Caenorhabditis elegans: one gene and its partners. The protein of the gene in region 1 interacts with the protein of each later gene in a pairwise test. Each region holds a gene or a part of one and is shown on either strand. Other genes may lie near its edges.

Region 1 (6,038 bases):
CTTACTTACTTACTTAGAGAGAGAAACGTGTACAATGATAGTAACGTCGTTAAATAATATTTAAATGATATAGCACATAAATTTCAGTGTTTCTACTAAGTGGCACAACTATGCAAAAAATGTTGCCGCGAGTTCATAAACTATTTTTGAGAGTTTTTTATTTAGTATTTATGTAATTTGCGCGTGGATCACGATTTACTACCCTCGTTTCTCATTTCCCTTGATTTTTCTCAAAAACCCTGTCGTGAAAATGTCAAAACCCAGCAGAAAGGTAAAAACGAAAATAGGAAATTGTAAGTTTCGCGAGGTAATTAAAAAAAAAAATTAAAGGACGATCCGTTCTTCAAGTGCTATGCACTGCGGATCTGGGATTCAGGTACACTGCCTGGTGGTGATCCCTCTGGGCTGTAATTTAAGCCACGTCCTAGCCGGGGACTGTGGCCGATAATCCTGTCGTGGATTGCTCCACTTCCCAATAGAGGCTGGGTAAACCTAGGGGGTGAGGCCGGACTTGAACTCGTGACCTCCAGACTGCTAGCGGCCACCACTACCGACTGAGCTATCTGCCCCCTCGCATTTAACTAAAATGCAAATATGCTCACTGGTGTGAGTGTCTAAACAATAAGTTTATTCATAACTGTGAAAAAGATAACCTCCGTGAAAAATTTTCTATATCCTACATACAATAGTTTTTTTTTTAATTTATTATCGTTTTCGAGCTAGTAGTCAATTTTTCAGTTATTTGGCTGAGTGTCCACCATAATATTTTTTCAAAAGTTTTTGAGTTTGTAACTATAATTATTAAACAAGTCTTGCAGAACATTCTTAACAAGCTGTACTTCACACTTTATTGCTTTCACTGTACCGTTTCACCATTCAATTTGGGAAGCGTTCGATCAAAAAGTGGTGACAAGGACACCCATACATGTACACCTTATACACTGCAATGGCGTAATAATTATATGAATCGTGTAGCTGCTGGAGGTTATCGAACAAAAAAAACAGGTTTCAATCCTACTACCAAATATGATATGTTCTCTTCTCCTCTATTATCACTATTATCACCCATCATCATGTATCATTTTTCTCACTTTTACGTCAAGACCATAACCGATTTATGACTTCTCAACGCTGATTTACAGCCAACCTAACGGAAAGTATTCGGCTATAAAATGATCAGGTATGTGTGTACGTGTGTTGACAGGAATGAGTTATCAGTGTGGTGGAATTCGCAGTGAGGAATACAATACAAACATGGTTAAATCGAAAATTTCCTGGAATTTTAGTGCTAGCTGAAGATGTTTTAAGTGCCCTAACATACAGTTTCGCAACAGGTCTTTGATTCTGATCTAGTACCGTTATACTTAAAAACATAAGCGGTAGAATAGGAATAAAATAATTATCATTGGTTTTGATGATAAGAACAGTTTTTGTTTCTTTGCGTGTGCACTTTCACAGCTCGGCAACCCCACATTTGTGACTCAACGTGTTTGTGCAAAATGAAATGTTCGATTTTTTCTACATTAGTTTTTTTTTGAAACTTTAAAATATGTTCTTTCTAACTGACGTTGAGATTAGTTCATCCCCTTTTTAACTGACGACTCAATTTATAAAATAATAACTTGCATCACCATATTATCTCTGCATAATTAAAAATGTTTCTTTTATAATAGTTTTAGTGCAGGTTTTCAGTTCTTTAGAGAATATCATCACAATTTAATTAGGTATCCCAGAATTTGCGTTAGAAAAGGAAATATAATTATTAGGAGAAAAATAGATTTTTCAAAACTTCAAGTAAGGTCGTTTGACGGCGACAATCCTTTTTCTCAATTTTTCAGCAGATTTGTTGCAGATTTTTAGTACTTTCTGAAAATAATTTTAAGATCTCAGCCAGATTTAGTATTATGGCAAATATTATTTTTTGGCGATTTTTTAAAATTTTCTCAAAATTCAAACGTAGAAATTATATTTTTCTCCGATGTTTCAAAAAAGTTTTTTTAAAACAATTTGTTTTCATCTTTTCTCGAATGTTTTTTGTAGTGTTGTTGACAATATATAAGTTATCCGAATGCTCTCTTGTTAAATTAATAAGTGCAGGGTAAAAAACTGCTTATTTCAAGGGTTAAATTTTGTGTTCTGGTTAATAGTATTTTAAACCCTACAATTTCTTTTTGCCCTATTCAAAAACTATTGCAGTTCAAATCGAAACCTTACACTTCATGAAAGTTTAACTAAACTGCGATGACCAAAACAAACATTTTGCATATTATACATTTTGTACGCCGCAACACATCCCAACTCAAATAACTGATCAAAACTTGTAGAGCACTTTCCGATACTCCTCTGCTCGAGGACATGATCTCCCCAGACTCGAAATTTGTGGGTGAAGCTCTCGAACAGAAGGATGTTAGGACTGTATTTGTCTCGGCGAAGGAAGGTTGGAGTCTTAATTATCTTGAGAATTTTACTGTTTTTTTTTTCAGACAACGAAGAACGCGAAAACCGGGTAGTCTTATTGTTAGGACCAACAAGTTCTCAAAAGTCAGAACTTATCGATTTTTTGTGTAATTATTTTTATGGAGTGGATTCAATGGATCAAAGGAGATTTCACATTTCCAATGAAGTATTACAATTGTAATATGAAAAAGTAAGTATTGAATTGCAGAAATTCAACTCGGAAACTCCTACAAAACCTGTACAGTGCTATATTTTTAACGAAACAAAAATGTCGGTTCGTCCTGTAATTCTGGATATGATCGCGTGTGGAGATACATAGTAGGTTTTTTTTTCAAAATTGGGAAAAAATCATAAAAGTTGCAAATTCCAATGAGCATAATAAATTATTCTTAGAATTAATGTTAAAACAAGAAATAGGATATCTACCGACTTTGGGTTTCTGGTACAAATTAAAATTAAATTAAAACTAAATTGGCCAAAACTTTACCATTTTCTTGAAACTTAGAGCAGTGTCAAATGTTCAAACCCAGTTATGTATTTAATGTACTATTGAATGTAGGCTCTTATTGGGAACAAAAGGACCGTCCCTCTAAGTCCCTCATAGCAGTCATAATCAAATGTACAATTTTGCTGTGGCGATGGAGAGGTCCATGTCATTTAACCACTGTCTTCTACCATTAGGCCAACAACAGGTCGTAAAATCTCGACTTGTTATCTGGTCGTAAATCAAAGTAAATGTAAACAGGACTAAAAAGAACTCTTCTTGTTTTATAAGGTGTTCAATAGTTTTTGGGGTTTCTAGGGACCTTACTTTTAGATTTCTATAGGTTTTGAATTCATTATTTCGAAATTATATGATTTAAATTATCGGCAACTCTTCTGTTCAAAATTCTAAAATTGCAAAAATTTTAATTGTTGAAGATTTCATAATAGGAGCATAGCTTACGTTTTGCATTTTCTCAGCCATTTTTTTGTGTGTTTTTTAACACTTTATTGAAAATCTTATACTATTTTGTTTTTTTTTAAATACGTGATAATCATTTTATTCCTTCCAGATAAATGATCCTAGTAGTTTAAATAGCCGTACGACGGGTGTTTCTTTTTACAAATTTAGCCAGAACTTGTAAAATCCTCCTCTGTTAGGAGCTTTTATGATGATAATATCTGTCTACTTTGGTTAATCTACTAAATTAAAAAAAATACATAATGTATTTCAATTGTTTATTGCAATGTATTTCAAAATTTTTTAACCACTAACTTTACGAAAAATGCAGAAAACTCTTAAGACAGTAATTTTTACAGTACAAAAAATATACAACTTGGATTAAAAAAATACAATAATAATTAAATTTCAGTGATGGTTTCGATTCGCCATCTTTAATACATAAATGGCTTCTTAACAATTGGAAGATGAGACTGGACGTTATTGCAATTGTGTTCTCACAGTTGCACAGAATGAGCATGCACGAAGAAGACGAACTGCAACAGGTATCTAGAACTTGACTTCAGATCCTACTTTCACATTTCCAGGTTCTCTCCAATCTTCCAGAACATGTACGCAACAGTATTGTTGTGTTCATCACAGCGTCCGACGGCTCCAGAACTTTCGAGCCTCTTTTACGAAGATTCGGTTTATCAGAGTGTCCCAAGTTCACTATCAACACGTCTTGTACATTTCAAAAACAAATGGGTGAGTGTGATTGAAATTTTTGTATTGATTCAGCGTTTGCATAGCTTTCTCGCGCCGTGTTAAAAGTTGTAAACAGACCGAATAGTTTTTGGCATTGAGTGCTCTCGATAAGAATTATCACTTTCCATCTCTCTCCATTTTTCGCCCTCTTTTCTCGTAAAACGTGACGACCATTTAAATCAAACATTTTCGGGCTGGCGAATCGCTAGAAAAATAAACTGCCAATCCGGCGATATTTGTTTTTTCCTGTACCTACCAGTGTGGGAATTGCAAAGAAAACGTTCTAATAATTTCAGAAGATCGGCTGAATGACGAACATCGGAGGAGATATTGGAAAATGTCTGTAAATCAATTCGATTCTTTCATGGAGAAAGTACAGGTACTTTTCAATGGCACTTTTTTGCCTAAATAGGAGATATTTACAATTTGGACCTGGTATCTTTTGAAGGCTTGAAATTGTTTGATTTCTCAGCCAGCTAATTGTTCAAAACTTTCAACTGATATGTAGTTGATAATTTGTAAACAAAAGTGGAGTATAGAAACGTTTTTGTATTGCCTCAAAATACTCATAATAGCTCCCAAAACCTATCGTGATGAAACATTGCAAAAAAATTCACAACTCTTTTTAACTTAAAGGTGGAATAGCGCCAGTGGGGATTTTGTCTAAATGTACTTAAAATTACCCGAAACAACCGAATATCATAATAATACACTCCAAAAATTTTAGGTTTTTCGTAATTTTCAGTCAAAGTTTTGGCAAGTTGTCAAAATTTTCAAAAATACGAGCTTTTGAGGAAATCCAAAGCAATTCCGCATGTTTCGACACCTCCGATGCTTTCATACAAAAAATTTAAACAAAATTAAAACATAAAAAATGTCGAAAAAAAATTTTTTTTTGGTCGACTTCCAAAAATATGAATGGCAAAAACTGAGTAATTTCCACTCTTTGACAGTACATAAAAAATTTTCAAAAAATGTTTGAAAAGTTTTATCATGATATTTGGTCATTTTGGGACCAAAGGAGTGGTTTTTAACAATTTCCAAACAATATTTACTTTGTGGATAGTGGTACATTTTCAGCCAAGAAGTATTGCAATTTTGGTGTCTAAAAACTACTAAACTTAAGAAAATTTTTAAATTTCAGGAAACCACCCCAATCACAATCTCGGGTCTCCCATTTGTGGATGATGGTATCTATGGAGTTCAGGAGTCTGGACAAAACTCGTCAAGAAGCAGTGTTTACTCCTCTAGCAAGTAGGTTGCAGTTCTTTTTTTTTCATTCCATTACATTTCCGCTTTCATAAACTAACACTCATTCTCACTCTATTATTAGATCCACAGTTATCGAAGTGGAGCAAAGCTCGAGGCAACAACAAGTTGGCCGACCGACGGAATCACCACCTCTACCACCTCCCCCACTTCCACTATCCAATCCACCTGCCAAACCAACACCCCCACCTCCACCACCAAAGCCGACAATTCGTCCGCCACCTATTCCGGCATCTCCGCCTCCAAGACCGCCGGCAAGTGAGCCTGTTGGCATACCGCTGTACAGTGAGAAGCAGCATCAACAACAACTTCGTCCAACGACGGCCGTCTCGCCGCCAAAGCCTCCAAGTTTCGCGCCGCCTGTACCGCCTGCTGCTGCTCTAATCACTGACACTTCGACCACCACAAACGCTCTAACAAACGCCATGTTCGAACAATTGAAGCAGTCTAGGTATTTAAAAAAAAAAAACTTTATCAGTATACATATAGACCGTACTAGAATTAACTAACAATGACTTTTTTGTTTTGAATGAAAAAACTTAAACTTTCCACTCAAACATTGAAAAGAAGATAGTAATTTTGTTGCTTTCAAGCTTCTATCGTGGGTTTGAAGCTCAAATGC
Region 2 (5,361 bases), on another chromosome or scaffold:
GCTGCTATATTAGTAAAAAAACAATCGAAAAACGCAATAATGCCTAGCCTATTATTGATTTGTTTCGCATAGACCCATTTGTACGTTACTAAATTTGGATTTTTGATATTTTTTATTCTTCGCTAATAAGTTGCATAACTTCTTGAAACTTAAAAATTAAAAAAAAAACAATTTTCCTGTCGAGGTACAACAAAGTTAAACAGTCACACTAATTATTGACCTTTAAAAAGCCGTAGATCTCAGCTGATTATGTTGATTGTATTCTTTTAAAAATGCTTCCCCTATCTATTCGTTTTTTTAAATTAGTTTTTTAAGTAGAAAAGTTTTTTCAAGGAATTTTTTGAAATTTACGAAAGGAAAACAAATAACTCAAAGTTGGAATACAAATTATTATATTTGTGAGCCTCCACATCATAAAATTGAAAATAAAACTCACTTGAAAATAGAGAAGATAATATCGATAATCATCTATCATTCCATGATGATAACATATTAAATAAACCCCAAAACTATTTATAAAAAATGAAATAACTCCCGACGTGCCCATAAATATCCGTACAGATTGTTCAATTGTTTCCCCAGAAGTGTTTAACATTACGTGATTGAAAAATGGAGCTGTGAATTTTGAAGGAATTTCTCGAATTATTTACAACCTAAAAAATAAACATCTGCGTTGGCGTTGATTAAAAAGTGATGTTCAGGCACAAAAGGAAAATATATAAATATCAACAAATATATATATTTACATAGATTGGACTAGTTCGGCTCATTTGAGTGGAATAAAGCCTAACTTTTAAATAAAACAATGTTTAATTATTGAAACAAAAAACGAATAAGCGATAAATTAATAGATAATATTCGAAACTCAATTGGCATCAAACGTCACTTTCAATGAGATTAGTTACAGAATAATCTTAAAAATTGACTTTTGCTTACAACTGCGGCAAAATTAAAATTGTAGACGTAGTTTATATAAGTGAATAGAAATTTATGCAATCAGACGAATTCTGATCATCTGAAAGTTGTGACAACTCATTCCACCTGCAATTTGATTAAAAATTATAGACTGCTGTAATCTGTCATCAAACCACAAAAACACAGAAAAATTGATAGTTTGTGACTATTCGTCATTTTCAAAGATCAATTAATTTTTAAAATTCTGTTAAGTGCAAGTATTTAAATAATTTATTCGTTATTATCCATACTTTGTTCATTCACATTCGTTTCATTATAAAAAATTAGGGCATTTCTGAAGCATGTAAAATGAATAAATGGGGGAATGTAAATACTCACAACTACCAGGTGTTTCAAGTTTCAGCTATATTTTAAGTTTTTTGTGGAAATGGGTGTTTTTTTGATTTAAAAAAAAATAATTTGTTGATTGAATAACAATTTTTGAATTTTCAATCGAAAAAAACAACTGGTCCAAGAGTAGGAGAAAAATACTGGGAGTTTTGAGAAATTATGCAATGGAAAATGGAATGGTAAGATGAGACACAGAGAGTTTTGAAAACATTAAAATATTATTTTGTGATGAGATTCTTCGCACGCTTGTTAGCAGATTCCACACGGACTTCGTTGGATTGAGCCTGGAAAAACATTGAGTTAAATAGAATATTCGATGATTTAGATTCTCCCGAGTTTACTGAGTTTCTCAAAGTATTACAACTAGAACCAGTATAAAAATAGATCATTATTTTTGATTACAAAGTTTCAAACGAACATTTCTCAATAAAGTTTTCAAGGAAAAATATTAGAATTAGTTTCTCATAGTGACATAATGTTCGATCAATACATTTTCAATCTAAATTAGGTTTTTGCAAATTTTCTTGTTATGCTTTGAAAATTCAAATTATCATTACACTTACCTTGTCATGAATTCTGTCGAGTTGTCTATTCTGGTTGGAAACTTCTGTGCTCATATCAATTGCCATGTTACGCAAATTGCCGACCATTGTTGAAACTTGTTGAACATTCTCGTCCATTTCATCTTCTCGTGCATCATTAGTGATCCTTCAATGAAACAATTGAAATGTTATCTTATTCTAATAAAACTTACTTGGTAATATATCCTCCTTGAGGTCCCATCGATGAATCTCCAACAGTGATCCTTGGCTGATCAGAGATAACACCTCCATCATCATCTTTCTTCCATGCTTTTGCAAATTCCGTCTTTTCAAAGTCATCGGTCTTGTTCCATGGCAATACACACAAACCACAACATTTTTCCATTCCTTTCAAATGATCTTCTGCTTCTTTCATGTCCTGATTGATTGTATCAAGAGCACCTTCGCAACGCTCAAGTTGTTCTGAAAACCACAAGAATGTATTTAATAGTCTAGAAGTTTGATGACTGACCTCCTTGATCATCGAGCATAACCAAAGTTTTGATTCCAGCCTCTTTACTTTCTTCGCAAAGAGCCAACATTCTTCTGGTGGATTCCAATGACTGAAACGAAACATTTATAAATTTAAGAGACAACTTTTTTTCATTTCCTAAATTTATCTCAAACACATCTTTCAATCAAACTTCTTCTGCATCAACTATTACCTCTATAGTCTTTTCATCAATTCCCACATTAAGCCCTTTAAGCTCATCACTCATATCAGCTGGAAGTACCAACCCATTGATATCGACAGTTGGCTCAACGGCATACGGACGGGGATGCCGTTGGCCGCCGGGAGCGCCGCGCCGAGCCGACATCCCCGTTTTTTCAAACTTTCAAAACCGCCCCGGCTACACGGGGAAACGATATTCGACGTTGTTTTCGTATTTATTGGTACCTTAAAACTTTTCAGATACGAAAGAAAGAAAGAAAACAAGAAAAAAATTTAAGAAGGTCTTGTCAACATTTATTGGCTTGAGAGAATCCGTGAATCAAATTTTCGGCACCTAAACAAAATGACAACAATTTCACGATTGAGGGAGCACGCCGAAACGAAGAACAATGACGTTTATGGAAGAAGACACAGATTTCGGAGAAACTTGATAGGAATGAGAGCCACGAAGGAAAAGAAGGGCACACACTGGATTGACTAAACATCCATTTTCAGAATTGGAAGACTATGCATGTTCTCCCGAGTTTGGCCAGTTTGTGACAAGCAAATATTTGGAATAATATTGGTTTGAATTACAATTAGCTTTTTCAAATTATATGAAACAGCAAAAAGCCTAGTTTCTGATAACAACTTTAGCCAATTCACCTCCAAATTACATGGCTGATGACCGGAAAATGAGGTGATTGCTTGTAATCTTTGATAGAAGAATTATATAAATGCGGTTCAAAATAAAGATATACATAATTAAATGCAACCATCCGAAATAAAAGTTTAAACTTTTTAAATATCATGATAAATGAAACATTCGATCACTTGAACGTCTGATAAAATATTATAATTTAATTTATTGAAAAATTTCCTAATTGAAAATAAACAAGTAAGTATAATGAAAAAAGATTTAGCTTTTGGAAAGAAATCACGAAATGCCTATTCCTGTTATTCAAAGTTTCTAAGGTGATCTTACAATTTGTTGTTTGGGTAGTTTTTTGATTATGGCTGACTATGATTCATGAATAAAATGAGAGCTACTCATTGATCAAAAACATATCTTGCCTTGAGGCATTTAGTTTTGTTCATATGCATTTCCAAGATGCTACACAAAGTCATAAAGTCAACAAGCTCTTCAAGTCTCACTTTAAGTCAATATCTTTAAAAGGTCTGAACTGGGAAACTGAGCCCCTTCTGGCTTCTGGACTCGGAAATTTCGGTCTTGAGAGAAAAGTAAAGAATTTATGTTTTCGATTGGAAAGAAGTGGTAAGTAAATTCAGAAACGAGAGAATAAAACAACCCAGCAAAAAATGGAGGATGTGGAGGGACAGAATGCAATACGTAAATGGAAAAAGGGACATGCATTCGAAATGAGAAGAAAGATATGGAAAAGTGTGGAAGAAAAAGCTGGAAGGAGAAAGGGACTCTTGGGAGTTTGATTGTACTACTAAAAGAGAAGAAGAAAGACAAATCAATCAAAACTTTCACGTCGTTAGTCAATGAGAATGAAAGAAGAAAAAAGAAACGAAAAGCTGAAGTTTTTGGTTGGTGAGAGAGCCTATGCTAATTGGGGGAATACCGGAGGGAACTACTAATCGAAGAGCTCTAACTTTATTTTTTAATTTGTGATTTGATAAGAAAAACAATGTCTATCACATCACAAATTGAAAATAAACGGATAACTAGTATTTTCTCACGTGGATATCAAACAGGCTAAATAGCTTCAAAAAGACAATTTTTTGAACATCAAACCGAAACTAACACAAATGCTACTTGGTTTGCAGTGAAAGAGCTTTTGAAATTTGAAATTTTGTGGTAATGTATGAATGGAGTTTTTAGTGAGTTAGGAGGAAAGCGGAGACAAAAAAAAAGAAAGCTACCATAAGGAAGTTTCAAGTTCAATATAGTTACAGCTTTCAAAAAAAATTGTGAAAACTAAAATTTCCGCTAGATTTTGAACAGAATAACTAGATCCAAGAAAATAATTCAAGTCAGCAAACAAAATGCTTTTTCAAAACTAATATGGTCAATTTCAAACGGAATAATTTTCAAGTGGAATATGAAATGTGATCCTCCAGAAAAATTAAGAATCAAGCTAAAAGCCAATAAAAAATTCTCGTTAGAAATTTATTTACACGAAATGAATACTACTCAAAAGTGCGATGACGTTAACAATTAAAAAATGCAAAGGTTTATTTTTTGTCGATGACTCGAAAACATGGTGCACATGATTCTTCCTGATTTTAATGACGGGACATCCTCAGTTTTTGAAAAAATACGTAGATTTCGAATCAAATTTAAAAAGTAGGAGGATTTGTAAAACATATGAAATATGGTTTCCCTCTCTTTTCTGCTGTTTCGATCACTAATAGTTATAAGGTTGCACTATGAAGCCTTAGTCTTTTCTCTGTTTCCCATAAAATTTACAACTTTCAAATGGTTGATTTAAAAATAAACTAGCTCCCAATAATTGAAACAGCTCAACTAGGAATTAGGCTGGTGTTGTGGAATGAATATAATCCAAAAAAAACATAAGTGTGCCACAAAAATATTTTTATGGGGAAATTCAACGAGATGGTAATGTAATGAATATGTGTTGTCCATATTAAATGCGCAAAGAGAATACACATCCATTTAGATTGTAAGTGTGCTCTATTGATAAAAATTATTGCCAAATTGAGTTTTCGCAATAAGAGCAGGCAAGAAAAAACGATCCGTCGTAGGCTAAATCGAATTTATAGAAAATCGACACAAGTGCTTCACAGACCACAAACAGAGTCTGATTGAACAAAAATTGAGATGTTGTTGACATT
Region 3 (4,384 bases), on another chromosome or scaffold:
ATTTGAGTTTTCACTTTATTAATTCTTGTATGGTTCTTGTATGGTAGTGACAAATTTGTATTTTTTCTGTTTAGGCTACATTTTATTGCTTGCTCTTTCCATGTTTTTCTTGTCTTGCATTTTCATTTCATGCTAATTATCATTTGGTTTCTTCAAGTTTGTTCGGCATAATTTTTGACTGTTTCAAAAATAAAATATTGTTTTGAAATACTCCAGGCGTACGGTAGTACTATACGATTATTAATACCACCAATTTTCCAACGACAGATTGAAAAAAATTGTTTTTTTTTGTTGCAAAATTTTTTTTTTTTGGAGAGTATTTATTCAAAGCGAACAAGATTCAATGGGTGATATATTCATCATTAGTGCCTATGACTTCTTGCCAACGCAACGGAAGCTAAGCAATACCCTCCGCACAGAACTTCTGAGAGGTAAAGTAGAAAGTCGTCCAATCACGTTTCGACGACCTTTCGATCATGAAACTTATGCCTGGCAAGGTGATTTTAGAGAACGGAACAGATAGTAGTTAGTAGGAACCAAGTTTGGCGAATACGGAGGGTGAGGCAAAAATTGGGCAAATACTGTTTTACTACTTGATCTTTTACTACGTATCTCTTTTACTACAACATCTCTTTTACTACGGAATCTCTTTTACTACGAATTCCGCATCTAGATCTTTTACTACAGTTAGCTCTTTTACTACGTGATATCTTTTACTACGATTTGACCACATAGATCTTTTACTACGGAAAATACTTTTTTACTACCTTATCTTTTACTACGTGGATGTTTTACTACGTTTTACTCTTTTGCTACGGACGTATTTTTACTACGTGGAGGGACACTGTTCTAAGCATTTTCAAAAGAAAAAACAACTGCATATAAGCCGTTTATTTGGAAAAAATATCTGATATAAATTAAAATCGCACAAGCAGGGTAGAAAGATATAATGCTTTTTCATTATTTTTGAATGTTGGTCCCAGTTTTTACGAGAGGTCCTTGATAACCATAATGACGTGATCCTTGTCTGGAGCAATCATGATTTCGTTCTTCTTCGTTCGAAGCCTCAGGAATGTTAGATCATTGCTCGAATCGAGTTCACGAATGGAAGTCTTTGTCTTCTCACATAACTGCTGCAGGAATGCGGTGTGAGACTGGGTGGCGTCGCTGTCGATTGTCGAATGAATAACTCGGCCTGAAAAATATCTAGTTTCATGGAAAACAGTTATTGTTTATTGGTCAAAGCTTATGGAAAATTAGTTGTCAAGGTTTGGTGGTAATTCCCATTCGGCTGAGACCACACTAACTTTTCTAAATGTTACTTTCTAGTTTCTAAACTTTTACAATTTCTATTAATTTTGTTTTTTTTTTAATTTTGATTTTACATTTCTAAACAATTTTCAGGATAGAATTATCTAGGAAAACGTACCGGCTGAATCGACAACAATAATTCCAACGACTCCTTTCTCTGACTGTAGACGGCGAATAGTCTCCTCGAAATCAGACATCTGAAATCAAATGGAAATTGATAAGTTTGTAAGATGGAAGAAAAATAAGCACAGAAATGCAATTTTTCACTTGCTGGTCGACTGAGAACTGCCAAAATTTTCTCCATTTTCCACTTGAGGAGATATAAATTCAATTTCCTTTCGTCGGATATTGAAAACTTGGCGACGAGAAAACGAAAAGAAGATATTCAAAAGTTGGGCACAACTTTTGGCATAAAAACAAAATAACACAAAATAAGAAGTGAGCATGTTTTTTATAAATACCACATAGCAATTTCACAAGTTTTCAGTTATAAAAAATTGAGTTCAAAAGAAACGATTAGAGATCTCAAAAGTTAGAAAAAATAATTCCGGAGTGTATGGAACAAGGAGCAGTGACCAATGGAAGGGGAATACATAAATACGGAAAAGTAAGAAGATAGAGAAAGGAAGAAAGATAAGTTGTGACGAAAGAAGGGGCGGATTCTGATTCAATTACTGCCGCTTTGCCTTTTTGGAGGAAGAAGGTGCATACTTGGCAGCCAGTGAATCGAGGAACGACGTGCCACGTTCCTTCTGGCGACCTTGAATCAGGGCGACAAGATCCGAATTGTTCTGGAAATTAAATAATTATGCATATGAATATACTAAAAATGTAACCTAACGGTAAATGATAAAACTTATAAATAAAGTGACAGATTTTACTGCCATGACATACCTGTGTCATGTTCTCAACTTCGATTGCCTCCTTCTCAGCCTTACGCTTGTAAGCCTTCATCTTCTTCTGAAATAAAACATAAATTTTAACATATTTCACCTGCATTACTTACATCTGAAGTGCTCGTTTCATATTTCTTCGTCTTCTCAATTTCTCCATCATCAATAAGTTTATCCAATGCTTCTTTCAACTCTTCGACGCCATCGAATCCGATAGCATATTCTCTGATTTTCGCGATATCTCCATTGAATTTCTCGTAATGCACAACGAGCTCATCCTTCTGTTCACGAGATCCTTGATACGTCTTCATGAAGCTATCGATATCCTCTTTTGTCACCTTTTTGAAAATCATTCTCCATGCTTTCAAGGCATCTTCATTCAGCTCTCCAGCCTCATCGTCCACTGATCCGGTTTCATCGTAAATTTTCCTTTTCTCTTCATCGGAAAGAATTTGATAAGCTTTGTTGAGAAGCTGAAACTTCGTTGTGTACGTCTGCATATCTTCTTCTACAAGATTCGATTTATCCGGATGCCAGCGCATTGATTGGCGGTAGTATCCTTTTTTAACTAAAAAATAAATTTTCGCTAACTTTAAACATTTGTTTCCCAAAAACTTACGAGCTTTCTCATCGCAATCTTTCTTCACGCCAAGAAGCTCGTAGAGACAATCCGTATTGAAGTGAGTTTTGCATTCTTCCAGAAACATAATCAGCTGGCTGAAAAATGGAAGAAATCAATAGAAAACAGTTGCGAAAGAGTGAATACCACTGGGAGAAGAACGTTCAAATAAAATGACTGGAATCGCAAATTTGCTCTAACGAACAAATAAAAAAGCGCCATGTTCAAACACGAGTTTCGGTCAGAATTGAATTTAAAAAATGCAAAATAGACATGAAATTTCTGCAGAAACGCGTTACCTACTAATATTTATATTAATGATAACAGGAGTGGATGAATATAAATTATTTGGAGCGTTGTTTGTTGCCTAATACACGAAGAAATGTATTTAACAGAAATGGATCATGGAAATGACTTTAAATTCAATTTTAAGTCAGGAGTTTTAAGATTGGGGTTAACTATTGCGAAATTTTTTTATTTTACTTTTACAATATTTTTCAATTTATTCTTAATTTCGTGCTGAAGAATAGAAAAAATCGATAAAAAGGAGTTGAAAATTAAATAAGAAAAAAAACAAATTCAAAAAACTCCATGAGACTGTGATTCGTGGTGAGACCTTGTCATCTGAAACTCGTATGCACCTTTAATTAACACCGTAACCAAATTCGCCCGATTGAAACCGAATTTATTTGTTTTTTTTTCTGAATTTTGTTCTAAAAAAATTTGCTGTTTGTTTCCCCTTATTCCAAACATTAAAGTTTCGTAACATTATTTGAAGTAGGCTCATTGTCACTCCACAAACTCGAAAGGCATGAAAGTTACAGAACGAGCAGACTACAATGTAGTCTTTGATGCCTGTTTGCGAGAGAGAGAGAGAGGCAAAATCGAGGCAAAACGAGAACGAGGCCGTGTCCTTTTTCCTAGCAAGACTATTATTCCACATACATTCCCATCTCTAGGCGCCTAGCGCCCTCCTTCCATCTCATAGCTATTTCTCTCCTGAGCTCTCCGAGCCCTCCCAATTTCGGCGCCTTCCTTTCCCCAATTTTCTTGATTTTTCATTATATATTTTTGTTTTAGGTGTCGTGGTGTGCTCGTAAATCAATTTTCTAAAAATGATCCTAGAAGCTGTTGCCGGACTCGCTTCGGCCTTTGTTCTGACCTATCTTGGGTTAGTTTTAATTTTTTGAATGGTTTTTCTCCAATAGTACACTTTTCTGCAACCCAGCCTTTGAAATAGTTAGCAAACGTTGTGTTGTGCAAGCAAGATGTGAATCATTCTTCTCACACAATTTAAAGTTTTGGCGTTTCGAAATTATCTTCTTGTTTTTTTTAGAATGACGTTAGTTGCTCCAGCTGAGGTCACTGAGAAAGAAGCAGAGGATATCACTATTAATAAAGGTATTGTCTTTTATATAATCCTTTCTTATTCAAAAAATAGTTGTTAAATTTTTAGTTTCAGAAGAATCGAAAAAATCGGGTAATGAAGCTGCTATAAAAAATGTTGTTGCTGGTTCGAAAACTCTCGTTGTACTGTTCGGATGGGCCGGTTGTAGGGACC
Region 4 (6,128 bases), about 15 Mb from region 1:
CATTTGACGGTACCCTGTTACTTTTAACAGCTGGGAGCACAGGGCACCGTGGAGCAGCTGTAAGTAGGCACTGACGCTTCTAGAGAATTTTGAATTGGTTTTGAGTTTTGTTTAGTTTTACAATCAAGCTTTTGCGAGGCAAGACAAACTGTTCAAAAATACCAGGAAAATAAAATGTACTTTTTTTGGTTCTGAATTTTTAACTATACATAAGCTGCCTTTAAATTTTTAAAGAAATTCACTTTTTTGTACAGAGTTCTAAATCCAAAGTTGGGAAACTTTTAGTTTAAAACTGAAAATTGAGGAATTGCGTCAATTTGTGGAGCCTAACTATGTAAATCAAGGTACTTGGAAAAAGCTAGAATTGGAGCAAGAATTTTCAAATGTTTGTCCATTCTACGAGGTTGAGCTCATTAGGTACCTAGATTGACGACTTTCAAAATTTCAAAGAAAATTAACTAGAAAAACTGTCTCCATAATTAATTCAAAAGCAAATATGTATATTGTTTCCGATTCTCTAAGAAACCAGATGTACATACAAAACCAGCACACTTTCAAAAAGTTTGAGCAACTTAAATTAAGAGCTCATATAGTCTAATTTCCATGTAAATCAGACTTAAAGTGCCCCAAGCAAAAACTCAAACTTTGCAGAAAAAAGGTGCGGTGAGTGTCCAAGGCGCGGCGTCCTAGAAACTATCGCCAGGACGGAAGGGCGCAATCCGAATGCAATGTGATCTACATATACAATGAATTGTCGACCCCAACACCGATTGACGACGCGACTAGAAGAAGAAGAAGAAGTTAGAAGGGGGAGGAGGAAGGGAAAATGAGGGGAGATGAAGAAAAATGGTTGTAGAATTGAAATGGATTGACAGTAAGGCTGAAGAAGTAGGGGGGAATGGGGAACGGAAGCAGAATGACATTTTCGTTTTGAAATGTTCTCGGTAACTTTTCGACTATTACAGAAATTTTTCTCAGAAAACTTGAACATGGTGCATCAGGTAAAAAAATCGATATTTTTTGAAGGAGCAGCAATAATTTTGTCTAGAAAAATAAATCCGAACATGGTGCATCGACTGGAAAAGTCCGATAAGTTTGGCGGTAAAACCTGAAAAATATGTGAGAGCCAAAGAAATTTTTTGAACATGGTGCATCGGACAAAATTTGTCATAGGAAATGACGTTCTTTTTGGCATTTTATCATATTTTTTCAAACAGAGAAAAAATTTCACTTTACTAGCACAAATTTTGAATGAATAATATACTGATAACCCTTAATATGTATGTAAAAGTGACAAGTTTCAACCGTAAACTTAAAAATTGCTAGTGTAGTTTTCAGTCGATGCACCATGTTATAAAATTACATCCAAGGTTACAGGGACCCCACAAAAAATTTTCTTTTTAAAAAACCTTCTAATCTTATTGATAATTCCCTGCTAAACACAAATACAATCACAGAAAGTACGATTTTGGTGCCGAAAAAGGGAGAAAAAGAGAGTGAAGCTGTGTTTATTTGCGCTTTCCGCCCTTCCCCAACTACCGCTTTTGCCTATTAAATTGGCGAGAAGTGAACGATAAGGAAAGAGCGGAGAACCGACGATCAGAAAGTTTGTGCAATTTTATTAATAAAACTGTTCGGAACCATTATTATATTAAAACCAGGGCTCCCATGTAGGCGCCGCGATCCGACATTTTTTGGGTTTCGCGCATTGCTATTAAGATTTCGGATCCCGGCGTGAGGGCGGCGTTTGCGGCACCCACATGGGAGCCCTAATTGAAAATTTAAAGAGTAAATCGATAGAAAATCCAATTTTCAGAATTCATTTCTCAAGTTACATGCTCTCAAATTTTGAGCACTAGAAATTGAAGACAGTCTGCACTCTCCCCTCGTCCCACACTCTCTCGGCTTTAAGTTCTATAAGCTTGTATCTCTGCGGTAGATTACTGTTATAAACGACAAAAAACTGGCTGAAGTATTGGGAAAATTTGAAAGAAAAAAAATTTTGCTGTTTTTCTGAATCAAATTCAAGCACAAACTGATATGTTCAAAAAGATGTGTCATACTGGCATTTCTGAAATGTTCACAATTTTTCTGTAAACTGATAAGAAACTTTGGCGAAAAAAAAATCGGATTTTGTAGTTTTTAAGAGAAGTTTTTGAGAGAGAGTAGAAAATTAATTTTTTTGAAATCAATTTTTAAAAATACAACGTCTTAAAAAAGTAGGCATAATCAGTGTGAACGGACCAATTTAATAAAAAAAAATGTTTTTAAAATATATTATAGAAATTTCCACTCCATTTTTGAATTTTAAAATTAGAGCGCATTTACCAAAACATACTAACGTGCGCCCAGCAAACCCACTAGGTAACCCTGTTTTTTAATTCTGCGTCTCTCTCTCTCTCTCTCTCTCTCTCTTTCACTCTCTCTATACACCTCCCGCCACTCCTTATTAGTATCCACCTCTACATTAGCAACAAATGACTAATTCAAGTGTGTTCGGAGGGTGGGTGAGCCGCTTCCGCCGTTACTTTGTGATCGCCCGCCACCCCCCGATCTTGCTTACAACTACTAAATTATGTATGCGGGAGACGAGAAGGTATATGTGATATGCGAAAATGTATGTAGGAACGAGTAGAAATGTTTGGTGGGGGGGAGGGGGGGGATCATTAGATTTTATTAAAAATTTGAGAAAAATCCAAGGATTTTCCACATCGAAACTATAAAATTGCACTAGAAGTTGGCAAACGCCAAATTTCAAATTCATCCGAACTTTAGAAATTTCGGAATTTTACCGAATTTCAAAAAGTATCGGGACCGCCCATCTGTGATCATGCCAGTATCAGTACCCCAATATCGATACAAATGATATTATGGTCCGACATCTAACGGGTTTCGCGCCCCACCCAGGCAATTGCAAATAAAATATAGTGCGGCGCAAAACCCTGCGGACGTCTTGCCATGATATCAATTGAAATCCCTATTTTTGCATATTCCCAGAAAATAATCCTTAAAGTGGTTGGGCCCGGAATTTCGTCAAATTTTGGAGTTTTGAAACTGCGGCGGTCTCGAAAAATTCTAGGTTCTGGAAATTCGTGGCGTGGGTGCTTTAGAGCTGTAACAGAATTTGGAAAAATTTTATATTTCCAATTTTTTCCAAATTAGGCATAATCCTGGTATCTTGGAACTTTGACATATTTTTTAAAAGTTCAGCAATTTGAAGCAGCGCCCAATTTTGAAAATCTGAAGTTTCGTGCCATTTTTCTCATTTTGGTGGAAACCTTCTAACCTTTTCACAGTGTGAAGTGCATAACATTACAATTTTAGGCACATATGTACATACTTTTAATCAGTAGATTTTTTGAAATGTTGAACTAGGAAAAAAGGAGGATTCACGGTTTAGAATCGTAAAAAATTCAGCTCAACATTTGGTGATTTTGGCCATTTTTTTAGACCCGCGGTTTTTTCATTTTAGTAGCCTGTTTTCTTATTTTAAATTTTAGTTTTTACCAAGGATTCAATAAAAACTTACCCATAGCTGGTCCCAACTGCAACTGTCGTTCATTGTTCGCCGCTTCTTCAAAAGGTTGTTACCATCCAATCCAATCTCGATTCCTTCTTTTTATGAACACTAATTGGAACTTTTTCGAGTTGAAGTCTGAAAAAAAACTCAAAACGTTAACAGCAATGAGCAGCACAAAAAAGATCCGAACAAACGAGAAGGAGAAAAAAATTGAAAACTTTAGTTCGTAAATAGGAACAAAAACAGTAATCTAAGCTGTTGACGGTTGGGCGTGTCGTGGAGCAAAAATGGAGAGCAATTTGTGGTTGGTGCTCATGGCACCGGGAGGCGGAAGGAAGCATAGGTATAATTGTGGGGGCTCAGGAGGGGGGGGTAAATTTTTTGTGGAAGAGCAGAGTATTTGGAGTGCTATGGGAGGTTGAAAAAAGGTGGAGAAAATTATTGCAAAATTGAGAAATTAATAGAAAAAATCAAGCTTAATCAAAAAAAAAACATTTCGCTAAAACGTGCTAGATTATTCGAAAAATCGGAAAAAGTTTAATAGCCGAAAATGGCCTAAAACCTCCAATTTTCAAACTTTTCCATATGGTATAGTTCACGGTTACCAGGTACCAGAAATTTTCAGCTACCGAATTTACAAAAATAGCATCAGCAAATAGTGAAAAAATTAAGAAAATCAGCAAACAATTTTTCACTTATTTCCGTTGAAACAGGCTAGACCCCAAAGAAACATTCCAATCCCAAATTTATCCGAGAACAGCAACACAGAAAAAAACAAGATAGGCGGTCACGAGAAGTGGGGTCCGCGGTCAGCTCGAGCACCCAGCTCGAGCTGCAGCAGCTCGGACCTCGAAAAGTAGCTCCCAAGAGAAGAAGAAAAAGAAGAGACGCTATTTCTCGCCCAATAGCATATGTATACACATGTGTGCGTCTGCGTATCTTGCTATCTAGGATAGACCTCGGGGTCCCGGGGTTTTCGGAGATATTGATGAGCGAAAAATGAAGAGTTTACAACAATACGCACGGCGCGAGATACCTAGTCTAATCAATTTTTTTCGAATTACGTTGAGGGAAATCTCGTAATTTTGAGTCTGAAGCTAAGCCTGAAATTAGGCCCGAGCTTGCCTAAAAGCTAAAGGGTAACCTAAAAGCTTAGTCTGTACCGAGGGACTCAGTTTTTGAAGAAGGGCATTAAGCTAAGAGCGCAGCCTAAAGGCTTAGACTTCAGGTGCCCAGCCATTACTTTGGGCTTCTTTGGGGCTTGGCGTTCGTGGGCTCAGAATTATCCTTCAACTACGGGGCTTAACCTTCTTGGTCTCAAACTTTGAAGGATGATAAGCCTGACCTCAAGGATTTTAAAATAAGCCTAACCTCAAGGAGCGGAAAAAATGGAGATGCGGCTTTCAAGGGCTCAACCGCCTAAATGCCTAAATAAAGAAAGTAAAAGTTAGCCTAAATGGCTTAGTTTTTGAAGGCTCAACTTTCTGGGTCTCCACTTTTTGGCCCTGACATATATTTTAGCCTTAACTTCACCATCTGCCTTGGCCCGAAAAAAAAAAAAAAAAACCTAAAGCTGACTAAAATATATATATATATACTGGTTTCAAAGGACTTCCAAAAAAGCCCTACAATCACTCTCAGAAAAAACTACCCAAAAAATGCTATGCTTGTCGTACCCGACGTTTCTCAAGGTAATATGCAAAACAGGCCTCCTTTTGTCCCCCCTCCTGCCTCGCCAATCTTTCCATGGCCAAACGCAAAAGTTCAAGTGACCCGCCAAATCGACGACAACACATAGGTAGTCGTGTCTCGGAAGGTTGAGTAGAAAAAAAAGAAGAATGGGGAAAAGGAGGCGAAGAAAATGTATTCGGAAGTTAGTAATGAAAGGTAGTACACCTAAGACAAGGTGACATTGGGACTGAGAATCGGTGACAAGGGGGTAAAATTCGAAAAATTCGGAGTTGTTCTAGTCTAACTAGAAAGTTGGAAAGTTGCAGCTTTGGTCAATGCAAACAAAATGTTGGTCAGTGCAAATCGAAATTCAAAAATTTCGAAAAAGATCTCCTAATCCTTCCCGCATGTCAATGACATTTGGGCTCTCAGGAGCAGGTGTTCCGGCAAATTGTGCATTGCAAATTGACCAAACCGCATTTCAAATTCAATTTCCCATTGCAGAGAAACAAAGAAAGGTGTCAAGAGATTAGGGCAGTGATGTGAAAGGCTTAACTGAAATGAATCAGGGAAATGTTGATAAATGAGGTAATTGGAAATGGAAACATGGAGCTTGGAATTACAAATAAATTATACACTTGTGATTTTGAGGCAAATTTTAAAATATAAAGCAAAAAAAAAAACAGAAAAATCGGTCGTTCTATTTTTTGAAAGGAAAGTAATTCCAGAAAAGCGTCTGGAACTCGATAGCATTTACCAACACCCAACTAGCTTCTCATTGGTTTTGCCACAACCGCAAGACTACTTCATCCGAAGCAAATGGCATATATTGCGCAATGAATCAAAATCCACACAAAAAAGTGACAGAAGCTACCGTCAAAAGTAAGAGGGGTGCGATAATTATACCCCACGCCGGCTTTCACCTCCATACTCATTA

What was found.
Region 2: the proteins of tag-343 (region 1) and ric-4 interact in a two-hybrid assay, tested with the Caenorhabditis elegans proteins (one large-scale study listed by BioGRID).
Region 3: the proteins of tag-343 (region 1) and dyrb-1 interact in a two-hybrid assay, tested with the Caenorhabditis elegans proteins (one large-scale study listed by BioGRID).
Region 4: the proteins of tag-343 (region 1) and toca-1 interact in a two-hybrid assay, tested with the Caenorhabditis elegans proteins (one large-scale study listed by BioGRID).

Annotation. Positions count from the first base shown.
Region 1 is NC_003284.9:16,671,050-16,677,087, reverse strand, and holds the start of tag-343 (RNA polymerase II-associated factor 1 homolog), read left to right. Parts: upstream 1-2,355; coding exon 2,356-2,437; intron 2,438-2,483; coding exon 2,484-2,623; intron 2,624-2,665; coding exon 2,666-2,775; intron 2,776-3,812; coding exon 3,813-3,945; intron 3,946-3,987; coding exon 3,988-4,147; intron 4,148-4,443; coding exon 4,444-4,526; intron 4,527-5,291; coding exon 5,292-5,401; intron 5,402-5,480; coding exon 5,481-5,867; intron 5,868-6,038.
Region 2 is NC_003283.11:10,259,960-10,265,320, forward strand, and holds ric-4 (Synaptosomal-associated protein), read right to left. Parts: upstream 2,785-5,361; 5' UTR 2,705-2,784; coding exon 2,552-2,704; intron 2,450-2,551; coding exon 2,359-2,449; intron 2,310-2,358; coding exon 2,060-2,309; intron 2,014-2,059; coding exon 1,869-2,013; intron 1,590-1,868; coding exon 1,524-1,589; 3' UTR 1,172-1,523; downstream 1-1,171. Other genes in the region: sri-18 (Serpentine Receptor, class T), read right to left, coding at 437-595.
Region 3 is NC_003280.10:9,105,638-9,110,021, forward strand, and holds dyrb-1 (Dynein light chain roadblock), read right to left. Parts: upstream 1,509-4,384; coding exon 1,430-1,508; intron 1,196-1,429; coding exon 987-1,195; 3' UTR 878-986; downstream 1-877. Other genes in the region: dnj-23 (J domain-containing protein), read right to left, coding at 1,983-2,102, 2,206-2,271, 2,318-2,772, 2,824-2,911; T24H10.4 (Transmembrane protein 53), read left to right, coding at 3,939-3,994, 4,160-4,224, 4,286-4,384.
Region 4 is NC_003284.9:1,517,833-1,523,960, forward strand, and holds the start of toca-1 (Transducer of Cdc42-dependent actin assembly protein 1 homolog), read right to left. Parts: upstream 3,656-6,128; 5' UTR 3,563-3,655; coding exon 3,530-3,562; intron 1-3,529. UniProt on the Caenorhabditis elegans protein: Plays a role in protein trafficking, actin organization and embryonic morphogenesis. Potentially acts as a cdc-42 effector. May play a role in hypodermal P-cell nuclear positioning.